3 linked regions of the Nothobranchius furzeri genome follow. The protein of the gene in region 1 interacts with the protein of each later gene in a biochemical or structural test. Links are inferred from orthologs where the notes say so. Each region holds a gene or a part of one and is shown in the gene's direction. Other genes may lie near its edges.

The links.
Region 2: of the proteins of nin (region 1) and aurka, one has a biochemical effect on the other in vitro, tested with the Homo sapiens proteins (2 studies listed by BioGRID). The link is inferred for Nothobranchius furzeri from reciprocal best matches to the Homo sapiens genes NIN and AURKA.
Region 3: of the proteins of nin (region 1) and gsk3ba, one has a biochemical effect on the other in vitro, tested with the Homo sapiens proteins (2 studies listed by BioGRID and IntAct). The link is inferred for Nothobranchius furzeri from reciprocal best matches to the Homo sapiens genes NIN and GSK3B.

Annotation. Positions count from the first base shown.
Region 1 is NC_091758.1:19,781,196-19,787,414, reverse strand, and holds the end of nin (ninein), read left to right. Parts: intron 1-3,443; coding exon 3,444-3,557; intron 3,558-4,908; coding exon 4,909-5,124; 3' UTR 5,125-5,251; downstream 5,252-6,219. UniProt on the Homo sapiens protein: Centrosomal protein required in the positioning and anchorage of the microtubule minus-end in epithelial cells. May also act as a centrosome maturation factor.
Region 2 is NC_091743.1:61,019,499-61,024,880, forward strand, and holds the end of aurka (aurora kinase A), read left to right. Parts: intron 1-87; coding exon 88-279; intron 280-388; coding exon 389-527; intron 528-630; coding exon 631-779; intron 780-931; coding exon 932-1,106; intron 1,107-2,776; coding exon 2,777-2,959; 3' UTR 2,960-3,393; downstream 3,394-5,382. UniProt on the Homo sapiens protein: Mitotic serine/threonine kinase that contributes to the regulation of cell cycle progression.
Region 3 is NC_091754.1:24,486,164-24,492,100, forward strand, and holds the end of gsk3ba (glycogen synthase kinase-3 beta), read left to right. Parts: intron 1-1,264; coding exon 1,265-1,451; intron 1,452-1,617; coding exon 1,618-1,716; intron 1,717-2,031; coding exon 2,032-2,096; 3' UTR 2,097-4,016; downstream 4,017-5,937. UniProt on the Homo sapiens protein: Constitutively active protein kinase that acts as a negative regulator in the hormonal control of glucose homeostasis, Wnt signaling and regulation of transcription factors and microtubules, by phosphorylating and inactivating glycogen synthase (GYS1 or GYS2), EIF2B, CTNNB1/beta-catenin, APC, AXIN1, DPYSL2/CRMP2, JUN, NFATC1/NFATC, MAPT/TAU and MACF1.

The DNA of each region.
Region 1 (6,219 bases):
ACTAATCATTATTTCTGTGATTAGTCAGCTTTTTCCTTTTCAATAAACACATGGAAAAATTACAATTATCTTACTGAAAAATGGTTTAACAGTGTTGCACATGTATAATAATCTGCACTGGTTTTCACAGTTACGGCATTCTTCAAACTATAATAATAAAATAAAGTGAAACGATATTTACAATATGATTAGTTGAGTAGAAACAAGTGCTCAACTAGAACATTTGGAATTTGTGTTACAGCATTTCATGTTTTCAACTTAAATATCAAATATTACAGAAAGTTAGCAAATCGGTAGCAAGTATGCAGGTGCTTCAGTATTGTAGTGGGCATAATCATCAACAGACACGTTTGTTTTATAAGAGGTTAAAAGTAATTTGTTTTAACCAGCGTTTCAGGATCTTGAGGACATTTTCAGTCATGTCTTGGTGAAGCAGCAATGAAAAACGTGTTTCTTGATTATGTAAATAAAAACATTCAAGAGCATATTTTAGCCAAGAAAGCTCATTAGCAAATTCTAGTTTAAGGCTTCTATAGGAGAACAACAAGCAGACATGTTTCAAACTTTAATTAAAGTGCTCTGATCCTGGATCTGGGAAGGTTCTGGAGTGGCTGGTCTGAGGAGCTGGAGAGTGATGATGGAGAAGCAAGACAGAACATCTTCAGAAGCTCCTGTAAGACAAGTATAACAGTCGTTAAACAAACAAACAAACAAAACAAAAACAAAAAACAACAGTGTGGCCAGGTGGATAAACGAGGGCTCGGGCGGGATTCGATCCCTAGACTCCCGGGTGAGAGTCATACGCTCTAACCAGTCAGCCAAAGGAACATCCCCTTGGCCAAGTAGCCAGGGCACATCATCAATCGGGACGTTGCGACAGCACACACACACACACACACACACACACACACACACACACACACACACACACACACACACACACACACACACACACACACACTGTCACAATAGTAAATACTGAAAGTGGATGAACTTAAGAAGAATGGAGTTTTGGACAGAAAGAGCACTGATGTTTCAGCTGGACTCACGAGCCACGAGGACAGACTGATACGGCAGCCACACTTTTAAGTAATCATCAGGTCTGACTGAAACAGCGTTTCTGCCTTTTACAGGTGGACAGAAAAAATAATAATGTCGACACATTGTTGATAATATTACTACATTTCAAGGCTTTTTCAATACAGTGAAATTAGTTGAAACAGAGCCGAGTTGTATTAGAAAACAGCAATCCGCACAGCCCGACAGCCCGGCGAATCTGGGATGAATTAGTGCTGCCTCAACCTCCTCGTCTTTCATTGGGTCACTGGAGTTTAAATTAAGTGGATGAGAAACCCATGGGGAGGGCTCTACATAAATGAGAGTAAAGTTGAATTTTAAACGCGTTAAAACTGTCACAAAGTGGCGTTAAAAGCGGCGTTTTATGTCACAGGACGGCGAAAAAAGCGGCGTTCAATGTCCGTACCAAACGCCGTATTTTACGCCACCCACACAGAGAACGCGTCTGGGATTAGGGTGACGTAAAAAACGGCGTTCAATGTCCGGAAAAAACGGCGTATTTTACGGGCGTTCTACGGGACCGTTCAGAACGGCGTAAATTACGGCGTTCTGGCAGAGTTTTCGCCGTATTTTACGACGTCTTGGCACATCAAACGGCGTTTTTTTCGCCATTTCTTAACTAGACGGGTTGGGAAAGTGGCGTATTGTGACGGTTTTGGCTTGCCATAAGGGAGGGGCGACTCGACGCGTCTCTACGGGCTCCAGTAGCAGCGACAGCCAGCGGGTTTGATCCGCTCTGAAAGGCGTTGATCAGAATTTGCAGATCACATTTTTTGAACGGAGATCGGGCGCGTGCAGCCATCATGCGTCACTCAATACATCGTCCGTGTGGAAACTCGCCTAGGAACTTTTATCCGCTGCACTTAAATCACACAAATAAAAATTTATTTAATGGAAAAAAAAAATAAATCAAAACCGTACGCAAGTGGCCCGAACCAAAACAGTTCAACACCCCCTCGCGATCCGTTACACCCCTGCTGGGTAGATATTATTATTTTTCTTTTTAAAAACTTAAACAAAAAAAAACTTGCCTGCATACATTTGTGTACAATCATCATCTCAATCTATCATTTCTGTTGTTTTTTCATCAAAATCATCCAGAAACGGAGCCGAATGAAAGCCGTCTTCAGGATTTTAGCGTTTCCGTGTTGATGATGATTCTCTCTGTGGGTGTAGAGGGTTAGCGGAGGGGTAGAACTCTGGTGAAGTGTTCCTGCCTTGTCTCTTCAGGATCCGATGCCAGATCAACGGGCCGCTCACGCTGACAGCTACAGGCGGATCGGCGGATTGTGACGCCCGCCTCTTTCCTCTTCGCTTAAGTTTAGCTTTGGCTCTTCGGCGACGTTTGGAGCAGAAACATCTGAACTGCATCCTTGTAGGAGATTGGGTGGGTCCCGATTCTCAGGTTGTGATTGGATTTCTCTGCTGCCAGCTGGCAGGAACACACACAGGGTGAACCTGTGGTTTCTCCCAAAGGGATGATGGGAAATTTTAAAAACTACAGACTACTGTTACATTTTGACAAATTGGAGTTTTCTTTCCACGTTTGTCTTCATTACAGGGAACCTTTTTAATGCTGGATTTGTGTTTCTGTAGATTTTCAGTGATGCACTTGTTTGTTTTAATAACTGTGACAGGGTATAGATCCTCAGAGGCCACACCTTTTTGTTGCCTAATGATAATGGAAGATCACTGTTGTTTTGTTTGTTTGTTTTTATCAGACCCCCCCACACACACACACACACACACACACACACACCTGTTACTTGTCTGACTGTACATTGTCCCATTTGATGACCTATAAATGCATTTTATTATGTATTTTTGTTTTTTAAGGCTGATGTTTTCTGTCTAATTAAATGTGTTGGACCTGTTTTGTTGCTGCTGCACAACCAAAGCGAATCACAACTTCCTGATTTTGTTTTGTTTTTTCACTAAACTGTTAATTTTATTTCACTGATTATTTAATATTTATTAAGTGCTGTGCCATGAATACACTGTTAATTGTTTTTGTCACTTGTGTATTTTGGGTTTTGAGCCACTTTATGAGATGTTTTCCACCATGTTTCGATTTTAAACTCTTTTGTTGTTATTTAAGGTTTATTTTTTTACTTCTGATAGTATTTATTTTATTTATGCATTATTTTAGTAGGTTTATTTTTAATAAATGAAATTATATATATTTTTTTATATTTTCTTCAGAAATGTACCTAAAACTGCATACAGATCAGACAAAAATAAAACTAGTCAACAAAAATAATGGCCCATAAGTTTTTGACTTCCATGTTTACCAGCTTTGATGCTGTTATAATGTAAAACACTCCCTAATGTTGTGATCTGGTGACATTCCTGATTGTTTTTCCCAGGAAGAGCGGGAGCGAAAGATGAAGAACATGGAGGAGCGCATGAAGGAAATCGAACTGTCGCTGTTTAACGTAAAGCTGCTGCTGAAGGAGAAGGTCGCTCAGCTGAATGACCAGGTCAGTCCATCTTCTCTTCTGCGGTTTACTATGGCGGCCATCTTGAATGGCAATTTACTTCAGTAGCTATGGAGTTGTAGATGTACTATTACTTTCTGGGTTGTATTGGAATCCATCCTGAATCCTGTGGTCACTGGTCTCAATGCTGCAAGGCTGTTTTTCCTAATTTGCATAAAAAAGGTATTAGCTTAACTTTCGTTTTAGCTCAAGTTCCATTCTACCACAACTTCTCCTTCATGCTATTTCATTTATTTATTTAAATATTTATTCCCCATTTATCATGACTTCTGTTGTAGGTTTTGGTATTGTGTTGAGCCTTCTGGGTCACCATAGGAACCAGCAAATTGTATTATATGTTGACTTCAACACAATCCCTCATTCTGAGCCAGCGCTGTGTGATGGGCCACAGTGGGAAGTAAAACTCCTCTTTTAATAGGAAGAAACTGCAGCAGAAACCGAACCAGGTTCAGAATGGAGCAGCCTTCTGCCTCGGCCAGCTGGGATCTGAGAGACTGGATAACTCTGAGGGATGGGGCCAATTGTTGTTTCTAATGATGATGAACAAAGTTAGTCACAGCAATAACAGTAAATACAAACCTGGCATTAAAGAGCGTAAATCCAACTGAGTGTGGTCAGTATGGCTTCCAGCAGTTCAGGTTTATAGCAGCATAATTAAAGGGATGAGCCAGAAAAACCAAAACTAAACTGTTAGAATGATCAAAAAGAAGAGACCAATTTCACAAATAATCAGAATAACTTTTTTGTCCAATTTTACCTGATGTCAGATTGCAGGAATTTCAGATCCAAATTCCCAGGTTTTTTTATTTTTAAGTACAGACATTTCATCCTAAAAAAAAACATTTATTCCTTTAGAGTAACCTTTCAGGATCCAAACTGGTGAATTTCACATTTTACTTTATATTTTCCATTGTTTTTCCAAATGATCTGATACAGTGGGTTGTTTTGTTTGTGCATTTTGTTATCAGCTCCTGAGAAAGCTTTTATATTTTGCCTGAAAACCAATAAATTTGTCACTATATAAACAAGCTACGTAAGCAAGCAAGCAAGCAAGCAAAAGGTCAGAGGGTCTCAGCTTCTAGGAGTCTGGCTGGTTTAATGGTAAAATAATTGCATCAATATATGTTGATGTAATTGTTCGTGACACCAAAAGGGGGCAGTAAAACGCTGAATTAAACTTCAAATTTAGGAAAGACTGCATTCTTGGATTTAGTAAAACAATTTTTTCCAGTTACTAATCTTCTAATCCATCTGATCTGTATATTTTGGACCAATATGTTTCCAATCAAGACTCAAACTATCTGTAACTTTCTATGTATTTTTTTTCTCTTAGCTGAACAAGAATGGCAAAGCTGATGTTCTGATCAAAGACCTGTATGTGGAGAACTCCCATCTGGTAAAGGCTCTGGAGAGAACTGAGCAGCGACATGAAATTGCAGAGAAAAAGAACTACCTGCTGGAGGAGAAGATCTCCACCCTGAATAAGATTGTACGGGATCTAAACCCGTCTTATCTTCCAGGGCTTTCTTATAACTGTAAATACGCATGATGACATCTCAGCATCTCATTTTCTTTTAATGTTCTCTATGTAAAATGGACTTTTACCTTCAGGGACACCTCTGTAGCAAATCCTACCAAATGGACAAGAATCTGAAGGTTCTATTGCAATTTTTTACTTGGATTTTTGCAGTATTTTTGTTATTCTAAGTTGCTGAACTTGCAAATATCAAGTCATATTTTAGACATTTTATTTCTCTGTAATTTATTATTTTACAAATATCTTAAAGTAGAAACTGTTGTATCATATATATATATATATATATATATATATATATATATATATATATATATATATATATATATATATATATATATATATATATATATATATATATATATATATAATATGAGAAATGTAGCACTGTTATGTATTTTGATACAGGTGTTTTTATCTCATTGTTTATTTGTAAGCAGCCATACGATGAAGGACCAGAATCGGTTTGTGATAAAATCATGAATCGTAATGGAGGTTTTTTGCTCCTATTTAACACTACTTGAAACTCTGCACACTTTTAATGTATGTCAAATAGTAATATTAAGAAAAATAGAAATATGCTTGTGAAACTATACTGCAATATGTAAAGTTACTGTTAGACGGTGCCATTATGAATGCTTGACTTTCTCTGCAGTGATGAACACTAAAGTGAAATTAGGGTGATGTGAAAATAAAGTGTATGAGCTGTGGTTGGTGGTTAATAAAAATCAAATAATGGTGAATATATTAGCATTATTTAGCCATATTCAAAGTTTTATAGTTTTGTTTTCATGGTTTTATTTTCCTTATAGTTGAACTTTTCTCTCTAACAATGTTTAGTTAAAGAGGCAATTATTCACAAAGCGTGTTTACAATAAGGTGAGAACTTGGAAATAAAGAGTATAAAAGCACTAGTTAAAGTGTCCATTGTTTTATTTTTTTCGTGTTTTGTCAACACACTTTGTACGTTTTTGTACGCCTGCTATCCGGTAGAGGGCGCTTTAGTAGCTGGGAGGATCGTAAACACCCAGCCCGGGTGAGGAGGGCCAGCTGTGGGACTGAATCGCTGCAATCGCTCGCTGTAGCAGCAGCTAGCCGGCTAAGCGCTAA
Region 2 (5,382 bases), on another chromosome or scaffold:
GTCAAGTGCACATTCTACATTCTATTTGTGCAATAATTCAACAGATCAGAATAGGATTTCTAACTCTGTACTGCTGTGTAAATGCAGAACGCGGTGGTGCCTGGAAAACTTCGATATCGGCCGTCCCTTGGGGAAGGGCAAGTTTGGGAACGTCTACTTGGCGAGGGAGCGTCAGACTAAATTCATCTTGGCCCTGAAGGTGCTCTTCAAGAACCAGCTTGAGAAGGCTGGGGTGGAACACCAGCTGAGGAGAGAGGTGGAGATTCAGTCTCATCTCAGGTGATGTGATGTGAAAATTACAATAAAACACCAATCTAAACTTTATCCTCTGTCTTGAGTTCCTTTAAGACAGTTTCACAGAATTCTCTCCTGCATGGGTTTCATACAGGCATCCGAACATCCTTCGTCTCTATGGCTACTTCCATGATGCGACCCGTGTGTATCTCATCCTTGAGTTTGCACCTAAGGGAGAGCTGTACGGCGAGCTGCAGAAGTGTGGAAGTTTCCCAGAAGACAGGAGTGCAACAGTAAGTTAAAAACACTTCAAACTTCAAACACAGTCAACATTCCACAGGTTTATTGAAGGTGTACTCTTAATTCCACTTACTGTTTTTTCTTTTGTGTTATTAGTACATTATGGAGCTGGCAGATGCTCTCCACTATTGCCACATCAAGAATGTGATCCACAGAGACATCAAACCAGAGAATTTGCTCCTGGGAGGCAACGGGGAGCTGAAGATCGCTGACTTTGGCTGGTCTGTTCACACCCCTTCATCCAGGTACGCAGATGTGTTTAATGCAACTTCTTACTGTGTTTTATGGGCTCTGGTCTGCTGATGTTGAGGATCGTTGTCTGGTTTTTCTTTGTGTGACGATCTTTTCTGTCCTTGCATAATAAAGTCCTATTTTAGAAATGTTTTTACCCCTGCAGAAGGTCCACTCTGTGTGGAACACTTGACTACTTGCCCCCAGAAATGATTGAAGGCAAAACCCATGATGAAAAGGTGGACCTTTGGAGCCTGGGGGTCCTCTGCTATGAGTTCCTAGTTGGACATCCTCCTTTTGAAGCAAAAACTCATGAGGAAACCTACCGCAAGATTTCAAGGGTATGAGACTCAGCTGTTTTTGTTTTGGTGTGTCTAATTTAAAGAAAAATCAAAACATGTATAAATACTCGTTCAATTCAAGTTTATTTATATAGCGCCAAATCACGACAAGAGTCATCTCAAGGCACTTCACATAATAAACATTCCAATCCAGGTCAGTTCATTAAGTCAATATGAAAAAATGTTTCTTATATAAGGAACCCAGCAAATTGCATCAGACTTTACAGCAATCCTAATACTAGGCAAGCATTTAGCGACAGTGGAGAGGAAAACTCCCTTTTAACAGGAAGAAACCTCCAGAGGATCCTGACTCAGTATAAGCAGCCATCCACCACGACTCACTGGGGATCGAGAAGACAGAGCAGACACACACACACACGCACGCACACCAAGTAATGTTTCTATGGTTACATCGTGATTTCTTAGTAAATATTCTATTTGATGAGAGATAAACTTTATTGTATTTATCCTAGTGAATCTATAATTAAATGGGTAAACTAGTTGTAGCACATCCAACGTCAAGGAAAGCAAAAAGTTATTATCAGGAGAGGGAGAATGTTTAAATGGTTAGCAGTAGTGTGCTAGATGATGGCCCCCTCCATGAGGCCACCACAGCTCAGCAGAACATCATTGTTGCTTATTCTGGGGAGAAAAAGAGAAAAAATAAAGTTAACAACTGAAATAGCAGGAAATAATACAGTTAAAGTTGTAGATGAAAGTAGTAGAGTGTGGAAAGTGGTCAGTGTATCCTCCAGCAGTCTAAGCCTATAGCAGCATAACTACAGAGATAACTCTGGATAACCTAGCCTTTTAGATGGAGGCAGGGCAAGGGAGAGCCGTCTTTACCGACCGTACACTCTTGGTCATGATGTCATAATCTGGCATGTTATTGTTACTGTACATTGTGCTAAAGCTGGGTCGAGTTAATTGTGAATCAAATTGAAATTGTACTTTCTGTAAGGAAATCAGTTGGATGTTTTCCTAAAATAGTTTTATTTCTGTTGTGTACAGATCTGCAGACTTAAAGGCCAGGCTCACTGAGAAACAGTTTTTTACTTATTTTAGAAAATGATCAGTGTCCAAGTTTCACGTGTAGCCTAAACATGAAAATAGTTGTCTTCACCTATCTCCTGCATTAGCTTCTGATAGAAAATAGACAGAAAAACCTCTGCTCAGAAAATCTTGACATTCATGGACTCACTCATCTTGACTCGTGGCGGCAAAAGCTGTTTATTTAGTGTCCAGGAAACAGCAGAGAACGTCTCGACTAGCAGAAGCTAACTGTTAGCAATAGCAATTCCGCAGTATGGCAGAACTCCTTCAGACTTGTTATTTTTGGAGGTAAAACATCGGTGTTGCAAAGGAAGTCAGTGGTGAAGTCGCATTGCTGTTATCCAATCAGAGGTATGGTGTTCAAATATCAGGAAATAAAACTCATTCCTGCCATCTGAAGCTACTTTCTCTAACTGGAATTCTCCGTGCTGAAACAGGCGCTCTGGAGCTTTTTTTCTGCAGTCAACAACTTACAACGCATTAATTCCAGCTAGAAATTGCTGCAAATGTATTAAAACTATGAGTAAATATGTACAATTCTGTCCTTATTAAAACTGCTAATTCACAGCTTCTGTTATTTACGATTCTACCTGTCATGATTTCATTCCCTCCTTTAGGTGGAGTACACATATCCTCCACAGACCAGTATCAGTGCTGGAGCCAAAGACTTGGTAGCGAGGCTGCTGAAGCACAATCCCATGCACAGATTGCCCATCCAGGGAGTCCTGTCCCACCCTTGGGTGCTAGAATATTCCACCAAGAAGCCCGTGACTCTGAATGCCGAGGAGACCAGTCAGTGAGGGTTTTCCTGATGGAGTGTACGACAAAGCACCATCGGCTTTGACCTCTGAGCATCAGTTGTAAGCTGATTTGTCAGAATCTGCTTTGATTACTCGACTTTTCCACTTCCTGTTATTTTACAGAATCTTGAGCCACATTGTTTTGTCTGCTTTTACCGTATCCTGAATTATTTCTCTTCTCAACGACATCCTGTTTGTAAATATTTAAAATGTAATAATTATGAAAATCTTTGTGCTTTTTATGAAAGGTTACTTGAAATAAGCAAACAAGACTTTTTTTAAATGTGTTGCTTGAAGTTCAGAAAACCTGAGAGAAGTAGGTTATTTTTTTATTTCTGCACAGATGTGAGACAGCAGAGGGCGCTAGAGAGCTCTAACTTTGAGCATGTTGGTTTCAGTAAAAAATAAAGTTTTCTTTAAAAGGTTTAACTAAATTATCTGTATTGTCTTGTCTTCAACATCTCACATCATTTATTGTAGCTCTAAGTAAATTTTTATCACAAGTGATGGTTCAGATCACATTAGTTGGATTTCTGAAGAAAATGTTTTAATATAAAATTCATTGAGTGACTGCTTCACTTAAAGTAATGGTGTGCATTTTTCCTGGTGATGGGGGCAGTAGATTCCTAAATCATTGCATGAAAGCAGTATTTTTGTGTTGGAGTAAGACATTACCAACGGATGCCCATTAGGGTCAAAAAGCCCTAGAGAATGCAAACTTTGACAAAATAACAAGCACATCAGACTCCCATTCATCACTGGCAACAAGCGAAGAGGTAGATTTGAAAAACATTTATGGATGGAGAACATGTCGTAACCGTTTGTTACAAATCAGTAAATGCATTTTGTCCTCATGGGCTCCCGTAGAAGGAAACATGGCATCTAATATGGTGTCGCCCAGAGACTTAGACCCACTCCCATGACCTGATTTTTATGGTTATGTTACAAAGCTGCCAATATTTTTCACCAACTGGGCATCATTTAATTCATTTTCAACAACATTTTGATGGGTGTTTCCAGAAATTTATGGTAAAAACTACACATTGTCTCTTTAAAACCAGTAAAAAAATATAAAATATACACCAGAAAATCATTAGCCTTAGCCTAGAAATCTAGACCGTCTGTTTAGTTACACTCCCATTATGGGCCTTTCCCACTAGCATCAGCTCTGCATGCTCTGGATAGCACAGAGAGTGTCCACATTAGTATAGCCTGCCTTTTTTGGGGTGCAACTGGACTATTTCAGCCCTTTTCCCGAGGTGGCCTGCTTCAGGCCGACCAGGGCCAGAACACACACTGCTTACTGATAGCCCAGCTCAAATTCATACTTCCCAATAGGGGAAGCCTCCGATTAATCAGCCCAGTGGGTTTACAGCTTAAACCAGTTCATTATAACGCTGAATACCTAGGAGGAAAGTGTCTGACTGCATTCATAAGGAAGGATGTGTGTAATGAACTGGGCTGACTTGGACTTTTCTGTGAGTCACGAGCAGATAAAGGTTCTTATGTCCTTTATTTAATAAAAAAGCATGTGTTAACGTACATGTCACACCCATCTACTTCTGGACCATGGGTCCACAACTGCCCAAATAATGAATGGGGATCTATGAGGGGATGGTATTTTCTTGTGTGCAACAGATTTCTCTTAATATGTCTGTGTATTTTAAAAAAATGTTTTGATGCCAGGAAAGCACTGATGATGATAGGCGGCAGAAGTTATTTTAGGTTTTGTGTGAAAATACTTCATTACCAAATTGATGTAATCAAACATGGAGAAGAGGAGAAAGAAAATAAGTTTAAAGACACAATTGGTAGTTTTGGCTTACTTTGAGCACCCCTAGAGACTATTAATAATTCACTGTCATAAACCCAAAAGTGAAACTCTTCTTTGCGCAATCGTGTTTTTAACACCTTCACCTAACTACTGAAATGTCTCCTTAGCCTTCGTTAGTGTCAGAGCGTTTCATCACTAAAACCAATCAGCTGTGTTCATGATCTAAACTATGTAGGAATCATGTGCTGGAAGCAGACTGCAGCGCTAGCATGTCAGCTCCACTTTACTATTGATTTACAAGGACCGGGATACTCTGAAGTTGCAAGTGTGGTGGAGTCTGAGTGATTTTTCTTTAACCCAGTGTAAAGGGTTATTTTAGCACATATTTGCTCAAAGAAAATGATTTTAAAATATGAAAAATGTACATTGTGTGCCTTTAATAACAATTTTTAAAAGCTATTAAATCTCTAAGTACTTGATGGACATAGTTGAAACACTATTTATTTTCATTTAAATTAAAGTACAACATACATATGATTTGGGGCAAAGCAGATTAGAAAATAACTTTTATAGCCCCATTTACTTGTATTTCATTTATTTATTTATGTAATGGCCAGACTGTATATTCATCCATACATGTTGGCTTGCC
Region 3 (5,937 bases), on another chromosome or scaffold:
AGATTGAATCAATCAATGTTGTTTAAAAAGCTTCGCTTTGACTTTTTAGACTCAGTGGGAAAAAAAAAATTCACAGAAATCTGTGATCCGTGTCTAGGCAGTACTATCCTGCTAATCTGCTTAAAAGCCAAGTTCACCTCTATTTCCTGCATCAACTTCTGATCGAAAATAGACGGGACAACACTCGGATTAGAAAAGCCAGTGACCTTAGCACATCATAATGTCAAATTGGCATTCATGGACTCGCCCATCTTGGCTCCTGACTGGAAAGGCTGTTGCTGATTTAGCGTCCAGGAAACAGCAGAGTGCCTCTCTGCTTGTAGAAGCTAACAGTTAGCATTAGCAGCTCCACCACATTAGAACTCCTTCAGGCGTGTTTTATTTATGGAGATAAATCATCAATGTTGCAGAGCAAATGGAGGAGGTGGTAGTCTTGTTGCTGTTAGCCAATTAGAAGCAAGATGTCAGAAAATCAGCAAATGAGACTCCCAAGTCCTGCCGTCTGAAGCTCAAGTTCAACGTGGCTCACTTCTAGCTCCTGAAACAGGAGCGCCAAAGCCTTTTCCCCACAGAAATGTACTCACAAACCATTTTTTACTTGTTATTTTTGAGTTAGATCGGTCACACTGAGTTTATCATGCAGGTTAAACGTTAGAATAGTCTTCTACCCCTATTTCCTGCATTAGTCGGGAATAGAAAATAGATGGAGAAATGCTTAGGTTAGAAAAGCCAATCAGATCCACGTCACACTGAAAATTAGCAATTATAGACTCACCCATCTTGGCTCCTGACGGAGAAGGCTGTTGTTGTTTTAGCGTCCAGGAGAGAGTAGAGCATATTTTGGCTAGTAGAAGCTAACCATTAGCATTAGCAACTTCACAACTTGACAGAACTCCTCCTGACTTGTGTTATTTGTGGAGATAAAACATCACCATTGCAGAGGAAATGAAGGAGGTGGTAGAGTCGCGTTGCTGTTAGCCAGTCAGGTGAGATGTGCAGGTATCAGTAAGAGAGACACCAAATCCTGCCGTCATCTGCTCTGGCTAACGTCTAGCTCCTGAAACAGGAGTGTCAGAGCTTTTATCACACAGATTAACTAACATGGCATTCGTTTTTACTAGAGACTATTGCAAATGTGTTGGAAAAAAATAAATGAACTTTGTTTCTAGGCTTTTACATGTTGACAAATGTGTTAGCTGTCCTCAAATACCTTTCGTCGAGCAACAGTCATCTTGTTGATTTGTGTCTGTAATTTGTCGTTCAGGTCTTCCGGCCTCGCACACCTCCAGAGGCCATCGCCTTGTGCTCTCGCCTGCTAGAGTACACGCCCACAGCGCGCCTCACCCCTCTAGAGGCTTGTGCTCACTCCTTCTTTGACGAGCTGCGTGACCCCAATGTCAAGCTTCCCAACGGCAGAGAGAAACCCTCGCTGTTTAACTTCACCACCCAGGGTACGCGCCACAAACACGAACAGTAACAGCTGAAATCCTCTGTATTTTCTTTAGTTTGTGCTTCTTTACATTTTGCTTTCAGAATGTCTTGTTGCCATCTGGGAGTTTATCTCCAGGGTGGCTTTGTAACAACATGACCTGATAACTTATGTTCATTATCTTTCAGAGCTATCCAGTAATGCCTCTTTGGCCTCCATACTCATCCCAGCCCACGCCCGCAGCCAGGCCGCCGCCTCCACTCCAACCAACGCGTCTGCCACCACAGGTACCTGCAGAGCTTTCTTCTTCAAAACACTATTTTTTTTATAATTCAAGAGGGCAGAACTTCTGTAATCACCACCTTGAAGGAAACATTTATGGCATCAACCCTCAACAATGACTATTCTATTCTAAACAGATTTAAATGGTACGTTATTGAAACTCTTTAAACAGTTCATTGCATGTTTGAATACATTTTTTACAAGAAATTTGATTTAAATAATAAATGTGAAACTCAGAATCTCTTCATTATCAGCAGATGGTTTTGAGTTTTCTGGTTTCCATTAAAAGCAGCATCACTGACTTTGCTTTCTGCTCACAGACGGCAGCAGCACAGAGCGAGGTCCCAGCACCACCACCGCCTCCGCCTCCAACTCCATCTCCTGAGCCCACAGAACTCCCGGCCCCGCCTCAGCCCACAGCCCCAGCCCACAGCCTCTTCATTGCCCTGACCAGGGGGTGAGCTCCGATCGGCTCTGCTCCTGCCTCGCTCTCCTCCCTGGCAGCGGCGCAGCTATGCTGAGGCAGCCTGGGTTCAACAGCTAAACAATCCCCCTCCCACCCCCAAAAACACAGGCATCCCTGAGCCCTCCCCTGACCCATAAGCAGGTGTTCGAACTCCTCCCCTCCTCCGTTAAAGGCACCTGAAAGCGAAGCGTGGGCCGCCTGTGTTGCTGACTGTACTAAACTTCACACGTATACACCACGCTAGACATCCACAAGAGGACAATCTGTAGAAAAGTCCTTCGCTGTCCCCGTCAACCTGTCCTCTCCTTATATTGTACCGTTTCCCTGCATCCCCCCACTTCTCCCCCGTCTCCCTCGGTTCCTTCTGTAGTGCATGACCTGAGTACAATAAGGGGAGGGGGCACTGTCATGTCCTCTCACCACTACTTCTGCAAACAAGGCATGAGGCTCCCGCACGCGTAAACACACACTCAAGACACACACACGGATGCATGATGATCCTATGTGGAAGGGAGCAGTCCCGCCTCGAGGAGGGAGGAGGAGGGGTAGAATTATTTGGACATTTGTTTTCTTTTTGCCCGGGGTTGTTTTTAGGCATTAAGCTCTTTTATTCTGTTTTTATTTTATTTTTATTTTGTACTCCTGGGCAGATGTTATTTGTTTTGGAGGGTGTGTGATGGGCGTGATGTGTATCTGGTCCTGTGTGCTTGTATGATTTATACATACAGTACAAATACGCATACACACTTTATATAATACTTTTCTTTATGTATAAAAAGTATATATAGATTCTATGTATATTATCTACAGTGGTTCAGAAATCATTTACGGTGAGCTCATATCTGGTGGAGCCGTGGCAATATTTGCTGCCGCCCAAAGACGACAGACTTCACTAAGTTTTTATTTTGTATCTGGAGTTGCTGGCCTCCGGCAGCCACCTCCCTCTCCTCCTGTGTAGATGGATGTAGGGTGCTGCTCTGCTCCTTTTGCCTTCGACTCCGTCTAATATCGCGTCTGTGACGATGCAACGTGTCCCCCAGTCCACCTCCTCCTGGAGACTTCCAGATGATCGCTTTTTTCTTGTCTGGGCTGTTTTCGAAGCCCCGGCGGCGGTCCTCGGTGCACCGCAGGCTGTCTCATGTCGACGGAAATGTTAGCCACGTGTTTGTTTTCCCCTCCTTTCCACCTACAGCACATAGAGCCGCTCACTACAGGCTGACGAATTATCTTCTCTACATTTAAAAAAGAAACAAAGAAACTGAATTTGTACATACAGCCTAAATGCTCCTCACCAAAACTCGTACGTCTTGTATGTTAATTTTTTTATGTTGCGTTGAGTCGTTTTCCATGTTGTGTTCACCGTATGTATATATACGCAGACCCATGTACTGTTTATGAGCAAAAACAAAGACGGGGAAGAAAGAAAGCAGGAAAACATTAAAATCAGGGCAAAACTGATGTTTATGGGTGTGTTAGAAGATGATCAGCTTTATCCAGCCATATGTTCAATCTTTACCTGTACAGTTCATTAGAAGACCGCTGTATTATTGTAACAAGGACTAGTCATGTATAGTGTAACTATAGTTTGGAGTGCCTTTGCTTTCATACACCTTCGCCTTGTCTCCACCCTCACCCAATGTTGTGACTCTCCCTTTGGTGCTGTTGAATGTCGTGCTACTCACCCCCCACCCCAATCACACAGCAGTTGTATTATAGGCTTTAGAGGTAAGGATGGCTCTCCTTACTGCAGATTCACTAGACACCTGTTGATTTTGGTAGATGTTTAATCCCCCACACCCACATGGACTGAGGTGGGTGGTGGCAGGAGGGGGGGGGGGGGGGGGGGCTGGTATACTGTACATATAATACAGTAGAGACTTTGTGTCACTGACAGTGTTGGTTCTGTTACCAAAGCCAAACGTTGATGTAGTTGTGCCGAGCCATCCTCAGAGGCAATAACTCCTTTTTCTCTGTTCTCTTGCTTGCGCCCCCCCCCCCCCTCCTAATTCTGTTGGTGGGAGGGGGTTCAGTAGCACCGAAGGGGTTGAGTCAAATAGCCCCCACCCCCCCATCTCCTGCTTGCTGTAATTTAGCATTCATGAGCGTATTGCTACCCTCCACAAGGTTTGACCACTTTAACCTAACTTTTAACACCCAGTTCATCAAAATACTAGAACAGTTACCCAAAAAAAAAAAAACAAAGCAAGTATAAATACTAGTATCATATACTAGCTTACAGATGTGCTAACTGGGCCTACCTGGGATTAAAGAGAAGAAAAAAAATATTAAAAAAAAACTATTACAAAAACATCCTGTATAACAGTACTACTTGAATGCCTTTGTTTGTGACTGAACTTTTTATTTAGTTTTCATTTGTTTTTGTTCTGTGAAGGTATGCTAAATGTGCGCCTCTGTAAATACTCCCCTCTGCGTGCCCCGAGGAATAGTTCCCTGGTACTGTAATTTGCATTAAATAAAGAGTAGGATAGCCTGGAAATGATCAAGAATTATCAAGTCTGTCTGGTCTTCCTTTCATTAGAGCTGATGTTCTTGTCTCAGTCATTCTACGCACATAATCCTATAAAAAAGGATTAACGTAGGAATTTTTAGATGTTTTGTTCTGACTGGAGAAGTTAAGTAAAAAAAAAACTCACCAGAAGGAAAACAAAAAAAGATCTGAAAATGCTAAACTTGGAGATCTAATCACATCTGATCGTAACTGATTCCAAATAAACTGTTTAATTCATTCATATCTTTTTTCTACTGAAGGAAACCAACAGTGTGAGAATGTCCAGCAGACACTAGAGGACGCCAATCAGCTGTTTTTGTGTTGATCGCCTCTGCTGAGATGTTTTAAAATAGTGGCCATCACACTTCCACACGTGCATCTTTTACGTGTCTAGTTCAAATCTCCCTCTTTACAATGTTTATGTGAGAATACATTCAAGTTCCTATAAAACAAACCCTTGATGGTTGAGGAAAGTCATATTAAACCATTTTACTCATAAGTGAACAGATTGTTGATCAATAGATGAAGTTGTCATCATTGCGTAATTCTGTCGTGCGTATTTATAAGATTGAATTCCTGCAGGTATTTAAGGTCTCGGTGAATTTTCTGGTCTGCGGTTTCTGTACTGACTTGTTTTGTGTGGCTCTCTCACTTTGCCTCCAGCTGGTTCGAGTCAGGTTATTCCCGTTTCCTTCCTGCCATGTTACCCTGTTCTTTTTTTAGTGTTCTTTTGTGTTTTGCGTTTGGTCACTCTCTTGCATAAGAACATTTAAAACCAGTTTCTGACGCTTCAAACCAAACCTGTTGAGCTTCTCTAAAAGATCTTGTTGATTTGAAGCAGGGGTGAGAGAGGACTAGAGGAGCGTAAATACTGATTGATAACATCAGTGTAATATTAGTTAATAAAAATGTGGGACTAATTTAAATGAGTTATTAATTATTTTTAACTGATTTGATGCATTACACTTAGTCCAAAACAAGCAGAACCTCTTTAAAACCAAACTATGTAAAGTCCAGTTCAAGCAATTAAAGTTGTCACGAAAAAATCTGAAGATTTTCTTCAACACGGTTCCTGCAGCACTTCAGCAGAACGGGAACCAGGATGGACAGACTTCTGCCCTGACGAGATAGAGACACAGAAAAGAAATCCTGCAAATAGAAGGATATGCAACAATATTCAACTATTTCAGAATGTTTCCATAACTATAAGCCCAATATAACAAACTTAAGCCTTTATGGGTGTTTCTGAAG